Arabidopsis thaliana: one gene and its partner. The protein of the gene in region 2 interacts with the protein of the main gene of each other region in a pairwise test. Each region holds a gene or a part of one and is shown on either strand. Other genes may lie near its edges. The genes, in order: AT4G28330 and AT3G07090.

The links.
Region 1: the proteins of AT3G07090 (region 2) and AT4G28330 interact in a protein complementation assay, tested with the Arabidopsis thaliana proteins (one large-scale study listed by BioGRID).

What each region holds. Positions count from the first base shown.
Region 1 is NC_003075.7:14,019,878-14,026,664, forward strand, and holds AT4G28330 (pyrroline-5-carboxylate reductase), read right to left. Parts: upstream 3,429-6,787; 5' UTR 3,052-3,428; coding exon 2,575-3,051; 3' UTR 2,403-2,574; downstream 1-2,402. Other genes in the region: MAN5 (Glycosyl hydrolase superfamily protein), read right to left, coding at 1-95; AT4G28340 (pyrroline-5-carboxylate reductase), read right to left, coding at 4,753-5,232; AT4G28350 (Concanavalin A-like lectin protein kinase family protein), read left to right, coding at 6,700-6,787.
Region 2 is NC_003074.8:2,241,485-2,249,073, reverse strand, and holds AT3G07090 (PPPDE putative thiol peptidase family protein), read left to right. Parts: upstream 1-4,245; 5' UTR 4,246-4,317; exon of another isoform or gene 4,318-4,477; intron 4,478-4,568; 5' UTR 4,569-4,597; coding exon 4,598-4,606; intron 4,607-4,699; coding exon 4,700-4,797; intron 4,798-5,142; coding exon 5,143-5,459; intron 5,460-5,547; coding exon 5,548-5,921; 3' UTR 5,922-6,076; downstream 6,077-7,589. Other genes in the region: ERMO2 (Sec23/Sec24 protein transport family protein), read left to right, coding at 1-61, 167-305, 429-619, 848-955, 1,042-1,245, 1,369-1,600, 1,711-1,860, 1,964-2,120 and 4 more; AT3G07080 (EamA-like transporter family), read right to left, coding at 6,140-6,462, 6,627-7,047, 7,142-7,589.

The DNA of each region.
Region 1 (6,787 bases), on a different chromosome or scaffold from region 2:
TTCAACCACAAATCTCGAAATGATAGATAGATGAAAGCTGCACATATAAAAAAACCTAGAATTCGTAGCATTGGCCTGTTCCTTGTGGGAACCATGCTTCTGCCACCTCCTGCTTCACTGCTTCACACACACACACACAGAAATTTCAAACCCAGAATTGGAGAAAGAGCTCCTTTTTTAGTCGGTGCCCACCCAGAAGAAAAAGTCTGTGCCTTGTTCCGTGAATTTCTCTGAAACCCAAACCTTTTATAAAACCCAGACGGAAAAATCAATCGTTTGTAGAAAATTAGCAAAGATTTGAAAAAATAGCTCGCTCAATAACGCTTTAAGCAAACAAGGGAGATACGAACAAGCAGAAGAAATTGAATAATCACAGACACAGATCTATGTATCTTTGTATTTATATTAGTTGTTTATTAGTTATTTAGTTTCACTGTATCTGAAACTTAAAGGACCCAAATTACTATATTTTTCTATTAATTTTTTTACAAAAAAATAATATTTTTCTATTAATTCTAATTTTCTTTTGTGAAAGAAGAAAATAGCTTGAAATAGCCCTTTTGTATTTTACCTTGCAAAAGGGACAAGGCATAATGTGATGTTTTAAAAAAAAAAAAATTACACAAGGTATGATTTTACACTCTATTTCGTAAGTTGAAATTACTTATAAAATATCTTCATAAAAATTGGATATTTATAAATAAAAAAATGGTTGAAGGGGAAAGAACAGAACTTGACCCACCAAAGAAGAGGAAAAAGCACAGGAATTAACCTGGTATTTAGATTTAGAACTAAAAGAGACTAATATGTTGTTGGAAACTTTAAAAGAAGGAATTTAATTTTGATGAGTATCACAGGAAAAAAAATACATTTGAATCTCTTAGGAAAAAAAATAAACAGGGCCACATGCGTTGGAGTGTCATCAACTTCAGATATTTGAGAAAAAATGTTCATTGTTCAATCATGTGATGTGAATTGTGAGCCCAACTCATTTAGAACATACAAAGGTTAATTCTGAGAAGACAAAACAAATCAAATAATTACATTTACATAGAAAATATTTAGCTTCTGCATAAATTCAACATATTCAGTAGCATATTTATTTCTTTGTTCTCTTGAAAATCACTTTTGAGGTGTTCTCCACGTTGTTTATGATGATAAAAGAGCATAGATAGGCTTGACAATTACATTTGTGGTAAGATTCTTTTTATCCTTGTTGTTTAGTCAAAATTGTATAAATTACAATGCTAAATTATGTGAACCTGTTCATCACAGTCGTCTCCGCTTTTGTATTTTTCTAATGTTTTGTTAAGTTCTTAGAATATAGGGTAACAGTACTATCTATTTTCTCTGTCGACATTAGAAAACTTGATGCGTGTGTGTGGTAAATACAATAATAAATAAATAGAAGACAGAAGTAAAATACTTTGAATGCTGTCGGTGACTGCTTTTATTAACAGTTAACACCCAAAGAGTCATTTTAATAATACTAAGGAACAATGTACAGTATTAAATTTTTTTGGATATTTTGCTAGCTATTTTTTGTAATGCAAAGTGTAAAGTTATGTATTAGCCATCTAGTTTTGCAATCAAATTAGTGTAAAGGAAAAAAAAAGAGAGATAAAAGCAGCCTTACTGCTAATTTTGGACCATAATCATTTAATTATTATATAGTATTAGTATATCTAAAGGAGAAACATTCAAACAGACCAATTATTCTTTTGAAGGCCATGTCATGATTTACTACCACCAACCAATGGCATTCGATAATATTTGAAGACAAAGCAAACCAAATCAAAGTAACAATACTAACAGATTTTTGAGAATTACTCATTGTGGATAAAGATTCAAGAGCATTGAGGATCGATTTACTCATGAAGGATCCAGAGCATTGAATGTATGTACATATTTTGTCAAATATTCATAATTATATCTTTGAATTATCGTATGAACTTTTATCAAAAAAAGAATTATCGTATGAACTATGCATTGACTTGGATTGAGCATCTTCTTACACTTGTTATTATTGCTACATTATGAAAAATTGGTGCAACTTATCATCTTTTAAGCTTTTTACTAACCAACTTCAGCTTGGACCATACCTAATCACATGCACTTCCTCCTTCAAACACAATTTATCGTCTGGCCTAGTAGATACTGTATTTAATACGTTGTCACTAAAACAGTTCTCCACTATATACGATAAAATGGGCCATTAATGGTAACCCGTAAGCCCCAATGGGCCTTCTAACCCATATTATAGTTCAGGTTTCAGAAGCTCTTCCATGGACAGAGACAGAGAATGACCGACAAACAAAGAGACCAAAAGAAGAATCTGTGTTCTCTCAAATAAATAAACAAAAGTAATGTAAATTACTTCACGTGTCGGTATTGTGACGTGGAAGCATTCTCTCTGACATCATCAGAAAACACATCAATCCAACAAAGAAGATCGATATTTTCAGATTCAAGAAATCAAATCTTGTTAAACTAAAGTACAAATAATAATGAGGAAAGATTTCAATATACTAGCTGTGAATGTTTTCGTTAATGACAAGAATTCAAAAAAACGAATCAAGAAGATGAAGAGTAAGAGTTAAAGAAGACGAAGTAAGCAAGAAGAGCACAAAGAAGAGCCACAAAGTTTCCTTCTTTAAGAAGAACCCTAAACACAAAACCAGCGATCTCTTTCGTCACTTTCCTTCCTTCAATCACCACTCTCTTCCTAGATTTTCCGGCGAACGCCATCGTCACCACCACTGATATCCAGATCACCACGATCGCAGGCACGGCTATGAACAGCGCCGCCGCCATAGATAAAACTCCGAACACCGCACCAAGAAGCACCGACGCGTAAATCGCAGGCAAACCAGATGATGTCTGATGATTCTCTCCGTACCAATTAACTATTGAATTCAACGAATTCCATGAAGAAGACAATAGGATCGCGTAGACTACAAGAAACAGACAGGCCCATGTTCTTCTCTTGCTTATAACTCTCAAAAACAACTTGTACGAGGTCATCGTCTCTGGTTCTTCCTTATCCGCCATATTTGAGAACACCAGATCTGATCTTATGATTCTGTGTCTGGTTTGGTGAAGTTATGGTATATAGTAAAAGAGCCTTCTTTTGTACAAGCTTCTTTCTTCTTCTGATTCCTTTTTTGGGGTGAGTGTTTGCGGTGAAGAATTGTGAGAAAAGGAAAGTGATCGTACGTTCTTTTTAGTTTATACTTAAGCCTAGTCGAATCTGATGTAACGTGAAGTACACGCTCTTGCTGATTAGGCTGTGTTTGTCACGTGCCTCTTTTATTAGCGGTCCAGTTAAAGTCTTTGCCTTTTCCTGCAAACTGACAGTTGGAGAGCTCTGTTTCCATTTTTTCTAGTTTCACTTTTGGCTCACCTCCCAAACTAACCGTTTCATAAACCAAAGTGATTAGTGATTAATTTGTGTAATACTTACACTGTTTTTCTTAAAAGTTAACACCCAAAAAGTCAATTTATTATGTAAGGAACAATGTATCAAGTTTTTTTGGGTATTTTGGAAATAGTTAATTTTGTATAATGCAAAGTGTAAAGTTGGTTATTAGCAATCTAAGATCTTGCGATCCAATTTACTAGTGTTAAGGAAAGAAAAAAGAGAGATAAAAGCTGCCTATAAGCTATAACTGCTAATTTTGGACCATTATAATTTTATTATTATATAGTATATCTAAAGGGGAAACATTCAAGCAGACCAATTATTCTTTTGAACTACCAACCAATGTCATTCAATAATATCTGAAGACAAAGCAAACCAATTCAAAGTAACAATACTTAAAGATGTTTGAGAATTATACTCAATTACTCATTGTGGATCAAGAGCATTGGAGTATCTTTTTGTCAAATATGCATCATTATTACTTTGAAAACTATGCATTGACTTAGATTGAGTACCTTCTTACACTTGTTATTAATGTTGTATTCTGAAGAATTGGTGCAACTCATCACCTATGAAGCTTTTTTACTTACCCAACTTCAGCTTGGACCATACCTAATCACATGCACTTACTCCTTACACAATTTTTCTTCTTCTTCGTCGTCACATTCACAATATATCTGTTTCACAATTACTAGGCTATCATCATCGTACTCTAGTATTTGGCATCTCACATAGTTTAAATATATTTATATCAAGTATTCAGCTGATAGAAAGTTATAAGTTAGATACTGTATTTAACGTTTTCACTAAAACAGAAAATGAGCCATTGATGGTAATCAGTAAAGCCCAAATGGGCCTTCAAACCCATATTATAGTTGAGGTTTCAGAAGCTCTTCCACGGAAGAGACAGAGAATGACCGACAAACAGAGAGACGACCAAAAGAAGAATCTGTGTTCTCTCTCAAAGAAATAAACAAAAGAAATGTCAATAACTTCACGTGTCGGTATTGTGACGTGGAAGCATTCGTTTTGACATCATCAGAGAACACATCAATCCAACAAAGAAGATCGATATTTTCAGATTCAAGAAATCAAATCTTGTTAAACTAAAGGACAAATAATGAAGAAAGATTTCAATATATACACACTTTTTTTTTGGTATCAATGTTAAGTTTAAAAAAAAGAAGACGCAAACATGCAAAGAAGGGAATCGAACTCAACACCCAAAACTTGCATGGGGTGTTGTACTATTTTACAACATATACCATAAGATAAGATGTCAATATATTAGTTATGAATGTTTTCGTTAATGACAAAATGCAAAAACTGAATCAAGAAGATGAAGAGTAATAAGAGTTAAAGAAGACAAAGTAAGCAATAACAGCACAAAGAAGAGCCACAAAGTTTCCTTCTTTAAGAAGAACCTTAAACACATAACCAGCAATTTCTTTCGTCACTTTCCTTCCTTCAATCACCACTTTCTTCCTCGACTTTACGGGGAACGCTATTGTCACCACTACCGATATCCAGATCACAACGATCGCTGGCACAGCGATGAACAGAGCTGCCGCCATAGATAGAACTCCGAACACCGCACCAAGAAGAACCGACGCGTAAATAGCAGGCAAACCAGATGATGTCTGATGATTCTCTCCGTACCAATTCACTATCGAATTCAACGAATTTCTTGAAGAAGACAAAAGGACCGCGTAGACTACAAGAAACAGACAGACCCATGTTCTCCTCTTGCTTATGACTCTCAAAAACAGCTTGTACGAGGTCATCGTCTCTTGTTCTTCCTTATCCGCCATATTTGAGAACACCAGATTTTCTTATGATTCTGTGTTGGAATTGAAACTTTGATTAAACCTGAAAAAGAGAAAAGCTTCAAGTGGGAAGAAGATGAAGAAAAGAGAAGAACCAAAAGCAAAGCAAAAGGAGAAGAAGAAGTTGTCGAAGAAGAAGAGTCAACAGAAGAGATGAGAAAGTCAAAGATGAGGCTATTGGGCTAGAGTGAAGCCCACATAGTAAATTAGTAATTGTGTGTTTTGGTTAGTAAATGGGCTATTATTAGAGTTGAGCCCAGATTTTGTGCATATGGTGTGCTTATAATTAAGCTAAGCTAGAGTAGCTAAAGAGTAGTTGTTAAGAGGAGTTGTGGTGTAAGGTTTAGTAGTTTAACGTTACTTGTGGTTTTAGTCTAGTCCTTAGGAATAATCATGTCTAAGTGGGAGTAGTTTTAAAGCTAGAATGTTAAGTGTGTGAATGTGTATCTTGTGGTGAAATACCACTATAAGTATGTGTATTGTGTCTTGTAGAGTTATCCTTGTGATCCATTAGTACAATGTAGACAACTAAAAGAAAAAAAAGAAAAAATCGTTTCTTGTGTTTCTCTCTAAACAATAACAAAAACAGAGAGTGTAACAATGAGAGAGAGACATAAAGAATGAGAGTTCTAACCTAGTGTAAAAGGGAGGTAACATTCGGTGTCTGGTTTGGTAAAGTTATGGTAAATAGTAAAACAATATTTGCAATGTTGCACACTGTCAACATCTCCCAAACGCACCGTTTCATAAACCAAAGTGATTAGTGATTGATTAGTAATACTTGCACTGTTGCACATAGTAATAAGAGAATATCAACTTCAATGTTTTTGAATTGAACAATGAACCTACCAAAAAAGTAGTTACTGTTAGGCATTTGACATGATGATTTTAGGATTAATATATACTAGGTCCTATTAATACTATGATGCTTACAGGTGACGAATAATTTGAGTTATGTGCGATATGTTTGAAAGAATTAAAGAGGAGAATCAAGAAGAAGATGAATATTTGACATTTCAAAGCTGACTTTTTTGACGAATAAGTTCATCATTATTCACACCTATAAATGTGGACAGCGAAATACCAAGTCCAACAATTTCACGATTAATTCCAAGTGGCTTGGATCAAGAAATATACAAAAACAAAATTCCAAATGCTTAGGAAAATAAATAAACGAGAGATCAAATTATCACGGCGGATATTATTTCGTCCACATTTGTTGTTCAAACAGATTTCTAACACATATAATTAGCATATATACATTAAACAACATTATCTCCTTAATAATTTTGACTCTGGAACAGATCTTTCCAGTTTCAGACAATATATTTGAACAATCGGTTCGTTGAATCGAGAACAAACCAATCAAATCTCTTTTGACAAAGCTCTTCTTCTTCTTCCCATAAAACTTCACAACGGCACACGTCTACGAAAAAACCTCTCTCAGTCATCATGTTCTCTAAAGTTTCCATTCTTCTCTTTTCCCTCGCATCCCTACTCTTGTTCCGATCAACCACAGGCATCGAATTCATCTACAACT
Region 2 (7,589 bases):
TTCAAGGTGGCATTTACCTCTAGGAGCTGTGGTTTGTCCACTTGCTGAGACTCCTGAAGGGGTTAGTTTCCGTTATTATTAACAAGAATGTCTTTGCGATTCTTTCATGTTCTAGTGCCACATATAACTTTGCCTTTCTTTGCAAATTGTCATTTTATCTGTTCAGGAGGAGGTACCACTTATTGATTTTGGCTCAACTGGCATCATCCGCTGCAGAAGATGCCGTACCTATGTGAATCCTTTTGTGACTTTTACAGATTCTGGAAGAAAGTGGCGGTGTAATATATGTTCGATGCTTAATGATGGTAATTTGTCAAAAATTTCTTTTTCCATAAATCATTTGATCGATGATGCTAGAACTTCAATACTTTCAGGCATATATTTATAAGATGACTATTCATAGTTATGGGTTTAAATTTCTTGTTCAGTGCCTGGTGAATACTTCTCACATTTGGATGCTACTGGCCGAAGAATGGATATGGATCAACGACCTGAGCTGACTAAAGGCAGTGTTGAAATCATAGCTCCAACTGAATACATGGTTCGGCCTCCGATGCCACCTATCTACTTCTTCCTCATTGATGTTTCGATTTCGGCTACTAAAAGTGGAATGCTTGAGGTAAGCATGATCGATTTGAATATCCCACTTTGTAATTTTGCTGGAAATGGGCTTTACTGTTCCATAATTAGTAAGTGCTAATTCTTGTGTGATTTTATCTGAATATACTACGTATTAATGGATCATCTAGACTGTTCTTGTTTCTTTGTCTAGCTTAGTGGCTCTCTCTCTTCATATGGAAGCTTTCGTATAATATAGATCTTACACTGACCTTTTGCTCCTTCGCAGGTTGTTGCTCAAACGATTAAGTCTTGTTTGGATAACCTGCCTGGTTATCCAAGAACTCAAATTGGATTTATTACTTATGACAGCACGTTACATTTTTACAACATGAAGGTAAGAGAATTGTAAACTCACAGGAACTTTTGTTTTGAAATTCTTTAGCCTCCATAATTTTTTTTTTGTGGACTTTGGCAATGCAGTCATCTTTGAGCCAGCCGCAGATGATGGTTGTATCAGATCTAGATGATATCTTTGTCCCATTGCCAGACGATCTGCTTGTAAATCTATCTGAATCTAGAACTGTGGTGGACGCCTTTTTGGACAGTCTACCTTTGATGTTTCAAGATAATTTCAATGTGGAATCAGCTTTTGGCCCAGCCCTCAGAGCGGCGTTTATGGTTATGGTTAGTTACCATCCTGACATATCAAGATAATATCATATAATTCATTTGATGTTGAGTGTCCTATTTAGATCCTCATCTGAAATGTGGATCAGTTTGTTGACTCTGTTTCTCTCCCTATTTCAGAACCAACTTGGGGGCAAGTTACTAATTTTCCAGAACTCATTACCTTCTCTTGGTGCTGGGAGGTTAAAGTTGCGGGGAGATGATCCTCGTGTCTATGGAACTGACAAAGAATATGCATTAAGGGTAGCTGAAGATCCCTTCTATAAACAAATGGCTGCTGATTGTACCAAGTTCCAGATAGGAATTAATGTTTATGCATTCAGTGATAAGTACACTGATATTGCCTCATTAGGTATGTGAACGTTGAGGTTATCAGTTGATGTTTTTTATTTCAGCTGTTTGGAGTCATGGGTGATAGTTAAGTTTATCAGCCTGTAATTACAATTCTTTGGTTTCTTGAAGGGACTCTGGCAAAATACACTGGAGGACAGGTGTACTATTATCCAGGTTTCCAATCATCTGTTCATGGAGATAAGTTAAGACACGAGCTTGCTAGAGACCTTACAAGGGAAACTGCGTGGGAGGCGGTTATGCGAATAAGATGTGGAAAAGGTTTAATAGTTTATGATAATATATTCGTTTTTGCTACCTGCTATGTCAATATTTGCTAATGCATTGGTGTGCTACTTGTGATCTTATATATTTTTGCATGCAGGAATTCGTTTCTCGTCCTACCATGGGAACTTCATGCTAAGGTCTACTGACCTGCTTGCTCTTCCTGCTGTTGACTGTGACAAAGCGTATGCAATGCAGCTATCTCTTGAGGAGACTTTGCTAACATCCCAGACTGTGTATTTCCAAGTGGCTTTGCTGTATCCTTGAATAGTTGATATTTTAAACATACTTGAGTTTAAACATACAACACATCATTTAGCTTTTAGTAATCCTTAACAGAACTAAGATATACCGCCTCTTGTGGAGAGAGACGTATAAGGGTACACACATCTGTTGCACCAGTGGTTACAGATCTTGGGGAGATGTATAGACAAGCAGACACTGGTTCCATTGTGTCTTTATATGCTAGATTAGGTAAGCTATATTCAAATTTTTTTCATATGCTACTTTTGATACTATTTAATGACAATTTAAATTCTGCAGCAATTGAGAAATCTTTGTCCGCAAAATTGGATGATGCACGGAATGCAATACAGCAAAAGATTGTTAAAGCCCTCAAAGAATATCGTAATCTTCACGCGGTGCAGCATCGCTTGGGGTCCAGATTAGTATACCCAGAGTCTCTGAAGTTCTTGCCATTGTACGGATTGGCAATTACTAAGTCCACTCCTCTTCTAGGTGGACCTGCTGATACTTCTCTTGATGAGCGCTGTGCTGCAGGCTTCACCATGATGGCTCTGCCTGTCAAAAAGCTATTGAAGCTTTTGTATCCCAATTTATTCCGTGTTGACGAATGGCTCTTAAAGGTTTGTGTATTTTTATCTCAATGTCCATTATCAAACATCAGTGTTCAAGAAATAGTAAATAATTTGTGAATTCACATGCTTGCAGCCATCAGCAGCCCACGATGACTTTAAAGACGTATTAAGGAGATTGCCGCTGGCTGCAGAGAGTTTGGATTCTAGAGGCCTTTACATATATGATGATGGTTTTCGATTAGTTTTGTGGTTTGGCCGGATGCTTTCACCTGACATTGCTAAAAATCTTCTTGGGGTTGACTTTGCAGCAGACCTCTCAAGGGTATGTATTTTTATCCACATATATCCTTACATATGAATATATGAACAGGCGGTACATTCGATGATGTATATGCATCATTAGTGTTTTTCAAGAATTTGAAACATGATAATATGTGTGAAACCCTTGTCTTTCTTCGTGTTGGGTCTCTTAGGTTACCTTTCAAGAGCAAGAGAATGGGATGTCAAAGAAGCTAATGAGGTTGGTAAAGAAACTGAGGGAGAGTGATCCTTCATATCACCCCATGTGTTTTCTAGTGAGACAAGGAGAACAACCCCGAGAAGGCTTCCTTCTCCTCAGAAATCTCATTGAGGACCAGATGGGCGGTTCGAGTGGTTATGTCGATTGGATTCTACAACTTCACCGCCAAGTTCAACAAAACTAAGATAGCTCACAATGGTAAGGAAAAAACCATCATAATACTTCCAATAACATGCTTAAAGTACCACATCATGTTCGACGCATCTTATGAAGCGGTTTTACTTTCAGACAACTCGGGTGCTAGGATGCCACCTCTTTGTAACCATTGAAGAACTCTTGAGCTCAAAAATCTTCTACTTAAGCAGGATCATGGCGGCCTTCTTCCTTGGGCCATAATGTGTTGTTTTGGATAAAGAAGTGCTACTTTTTGATTTTTCTTCATTTGTTTTTCTATATAGACCTTTTTTCTCAAGATTAGGCTTTTATTTGCCTAACCAGAATGGTTATCTCCGTAAGATTAGTCGTTTTTTAAATCTTTTGTTGCCTTTTTTTTTTGTCCTCATTCGATTTTTTGTTGATGTGCGTCTGTTCTAGATTTATTTTGGGAGTTGCAGTTCATGAATCTGTCCTAATTAGGGTTATTAACAAGAAGATGCTACTGTTAAAATTTTAAAATATTTTTATGAATAAATAATGTTGTGAAAACCTTAGATTTGGATGAAACGCATCGTTGGTATACATCGGTAAAGTTCATACATAAACAATACGGTGATTGATCGCTGTAAGACCAACTGTTCCTGCAATCACAAATAGATAAATTAGGATTTCAATTTTTAACTGCTGTAATTCTGATTCAAAGATTCTGGTCGGTTGAACCGGGACGGGGAAAATAGACGTGGCAATGTCTTATTGGATGGTACTTTCTAGAAGGTTACAGAATAAAAGCGGTCGTCGGTATAGGGGTCAAAGTAGCTTAAACGACGTCGTAGAGGAATCTTCGAATCTCCCAATAGCTTGCCTTTATAACAAACCTCTCTGAACCATTGCTATCCAAGAAATCTTTCAGATTTGCGCATATCGACAATTTTCCGAGCGGCCAGTTTACGTATTTTGTTTGTACGTGATCAAATCTCCCTCGCTTTCTCGCTATCAATTTTATCAATTATGTGTTCCCGATTGTTTCTAGATTTGGATTTTCTATTTGCGGATACTAGTTCTTTTTTGTTCGGAATCGATTATGGATTTGGTCTTAAGATTTGCGGAAATTCTTTTGTAGGTCTGATATAGTTTGTTCGGAATCATTCTTGTTGCTCAGGTCTTAGATCATTGCGATTGTAAATTTTGATTTTGATTTTTTTTTTCTTCAGGTAGTTAACGTGTTTCAAGGACTTTGACAATGGCTGAGGTATGATTCTCTTTTTTTCATTTCTGGTTCGTAGTTAATTGCGTTGCCTCGTTGTTAGTTTGATTGAAATTGGTGATATATGTGATATGGCAGGAAGCGCATAAGGTAACATTGAATGTCTATGATTTAAGCCAAGGCTTGGCACGCCAGCTCTCACAATCACTCCTGGGAAAGGTTATTGAAGGTGTATGGTGAGTCAAATCTCTGTCACATGTTCGTATTTGATCTGTTGTGTTGTATATGCCAAATTTGTTTTGAACATTTGTCCTGTGTAGTGCCATTCATAGGGTTTGATATTATTGTTTTAGCTGTTGAACATGGTTGCAGTTAACCCAATGTAAAAGATATTGGCATGACTGGTTGGTGTATGTAAATGTGTCTAAGCTTCTGCTTTTAATATCAACCGAGTGTGGTTTTCCTTGAGAAATATGAATTAACCTGCTTATTGTTTAGGTGTTTTGCTTTTTACTCTTTTAGGATATTACTTTGATGTTAAACCAGGTAGATAACATGTGAGTTATGTATCCTTTTTCCAGGCATACAGGAATAGTTGTCTATGGGAATGAGTACTTTTTTGGAGGAGGGATACAACATTTACCAGTTGGAAGAACTCCATATGGAACACCAATTCGAACGATAGAGTTGGGTCTATCACATGTGCCTAAAGATGTATTCGAGATGTACTTGGAAGAAATCAGTCCTCGTTACACTGCTGAATCCTACAATTTACTTACTCACAACTGCAACAACTTCAGCAACGAGGTCGCTCAGTTTTTGGTGGGTAAAGGGATTCCTGACTACATTCTCCAGCTTCCTAATGATGTTCTAAACAGTCCCATGGGTGGTCTTATAAGTAAGTCGCTGATAACTTGCGACACCTTCCTTGAACCTCTTCTTTCTCGGCTACATTATTGTTCTAATTTCATATCCCCATTTTGCAGTGCCTATGTTGCAAGGCCTCGAAACAACTCTAAAGGCTGGTGCTGTTCCTCAAGTTCCACAGTTTAGGCCACAGCCACAACCTTTTGGAGCTTTTAGTAAAGATGATGGCCCACAAATTGTGATAGCTCCTAAGCTCGAGGCAGCAGAAACCTCAACTGCAACTGAGAAAGTGCCACCTGTTATTCAACCATCAGCTAGTAAAGAGAAGGTCAAGGACGACCCGTTGGGTGATGCTAGGGCCAAGATTCAGGAAGAGATTACAAGCGAATTTGCAGCTCTAATGGCACAAGGCACATTACGAGCAAGTGAAGCAGCTGCTATGGCGACAAAAAGAGTCATGCAAAAGTACGGACATCTCAATGTAAACGCTTAGTGCAATAACAGAGAGATGAAACATTTTATTTTTACTGTCTTGAAACTAAGTCCAGAATCTTGAACGATTTCATTACACTATTGCCTTCAGCTGTATTTCGTGTATTATGTTCAACGATCTACAAATTAATTATCATAAAAGAGGAAAAGAGCAGTAAACAAGAGAAAAAAAAAAGATTTTACAAGAATTGTGGCTTTTGAATTTGGAACAATTTAGGCTTATACTACAGTCAGTGAAGAATCTACTCTTATGCTATCTGGCACAATCGGAGGAGGATCTGTGAACGAAGTCCCAGGTTCTAACTCAATAGCAGTCTCTTTGGATTTGCAAAACATCTCTGAGGGAATATTAATCCCTGCAAAGCCAACCATAACAGCTGCAGCACCAATGTAGTCGGTGAAGCTTGGTTTGTTCCCTGATAAGCTGTCTACAATGGCTGCCAATGGGACCTGAATAGTTAGCCCAGCTGTAGCTACAGTGGTTGTTGTCAATAGTACTGCCTTTGCCCACAGATAGTCACTAAGCACATTATCTAACAAACCTGCAGTTGTGATGAAACACACATTAGTCTTTCAAATCGGCATTCCTACATCAATCCTAATTTACTACTTGTGCCATCAATTCCCATTGATATGAGAAAATGTGATTTATTGACCAATAGCTTCAAGGAGACAATAGCGGAAATAAGGGATGGTGTTTGCATACCTTTGCCAACAACTAGGCCAAATTGTTTCAAGGTAAGTGCGTTGAAGCGTTCTCGCTTTGTGAAGTTGAGTATTAGAGCAGGAGGAAGGAAAATGAAGAAATTGAAGAGACCAAGAAACCCGAGGAACTGAGCCATACTGACCCGGCCGTTTCTTTCATCATCATCCGGAAGCTTTTTGCGTATAAGAGTGATGTAGACAGCATACAGCGCCGCTGAGACCAGCGAAAGAATATCTCCCAAAAGAGGGTTCTTAGCTACTGCATTTGACTTGGACTCTGAGTCACCCATACTTACAATTATAGTCCCAGACATACAAAGAAGAACGCTGAAGAGTTTCAACCATGTGAACTTCTCACCCAAGAATATTAGTGAAACAAGAAAGGTGAAAAGGCTTGATGCACTGCTTAATATGGTATTTGACTGCAAACACACAAAAATGAAAAAAAAACTTCAGCAAAACATTTAGTAGATTCAGAATAAGCAACAAGATGATGGGTGTCCAATATGTTCTTACCGTAACTGTTGTGTACTTGAGAGAGACATTAAATGTAAGCTGCGCCAAAAACCAAAACGGACAAATCACAAGGCTAACTTTAGCAACTCGCATCCTTGTCCAACGACCCTTCTCATCTAATCCTTTATTAGAAACTCCACTAGCTCCATCACTAACATTGACACTAGCATCAATCTCAAGCTCTATATTTTCCAATCCAGATTCAATCCCATTACCACCCTCACTAATCTCTTGCTCTCTCACAACAAGCCCTGAACTCTCAGTAGCATCTGATTTCACACCAGAAACATCTTTTCCAAGCAAAACAGCCTTCTCTGATTCGACCAGTTCCATTAAATGCGACCTTTTGCTTCTCCAGAACAATAAACTCCCATATGCATCTTCCAGATATCGACCAATCTCAAAAAGGGGAAGATAAACAACGAACAATGAATTACAAATGAAAGTG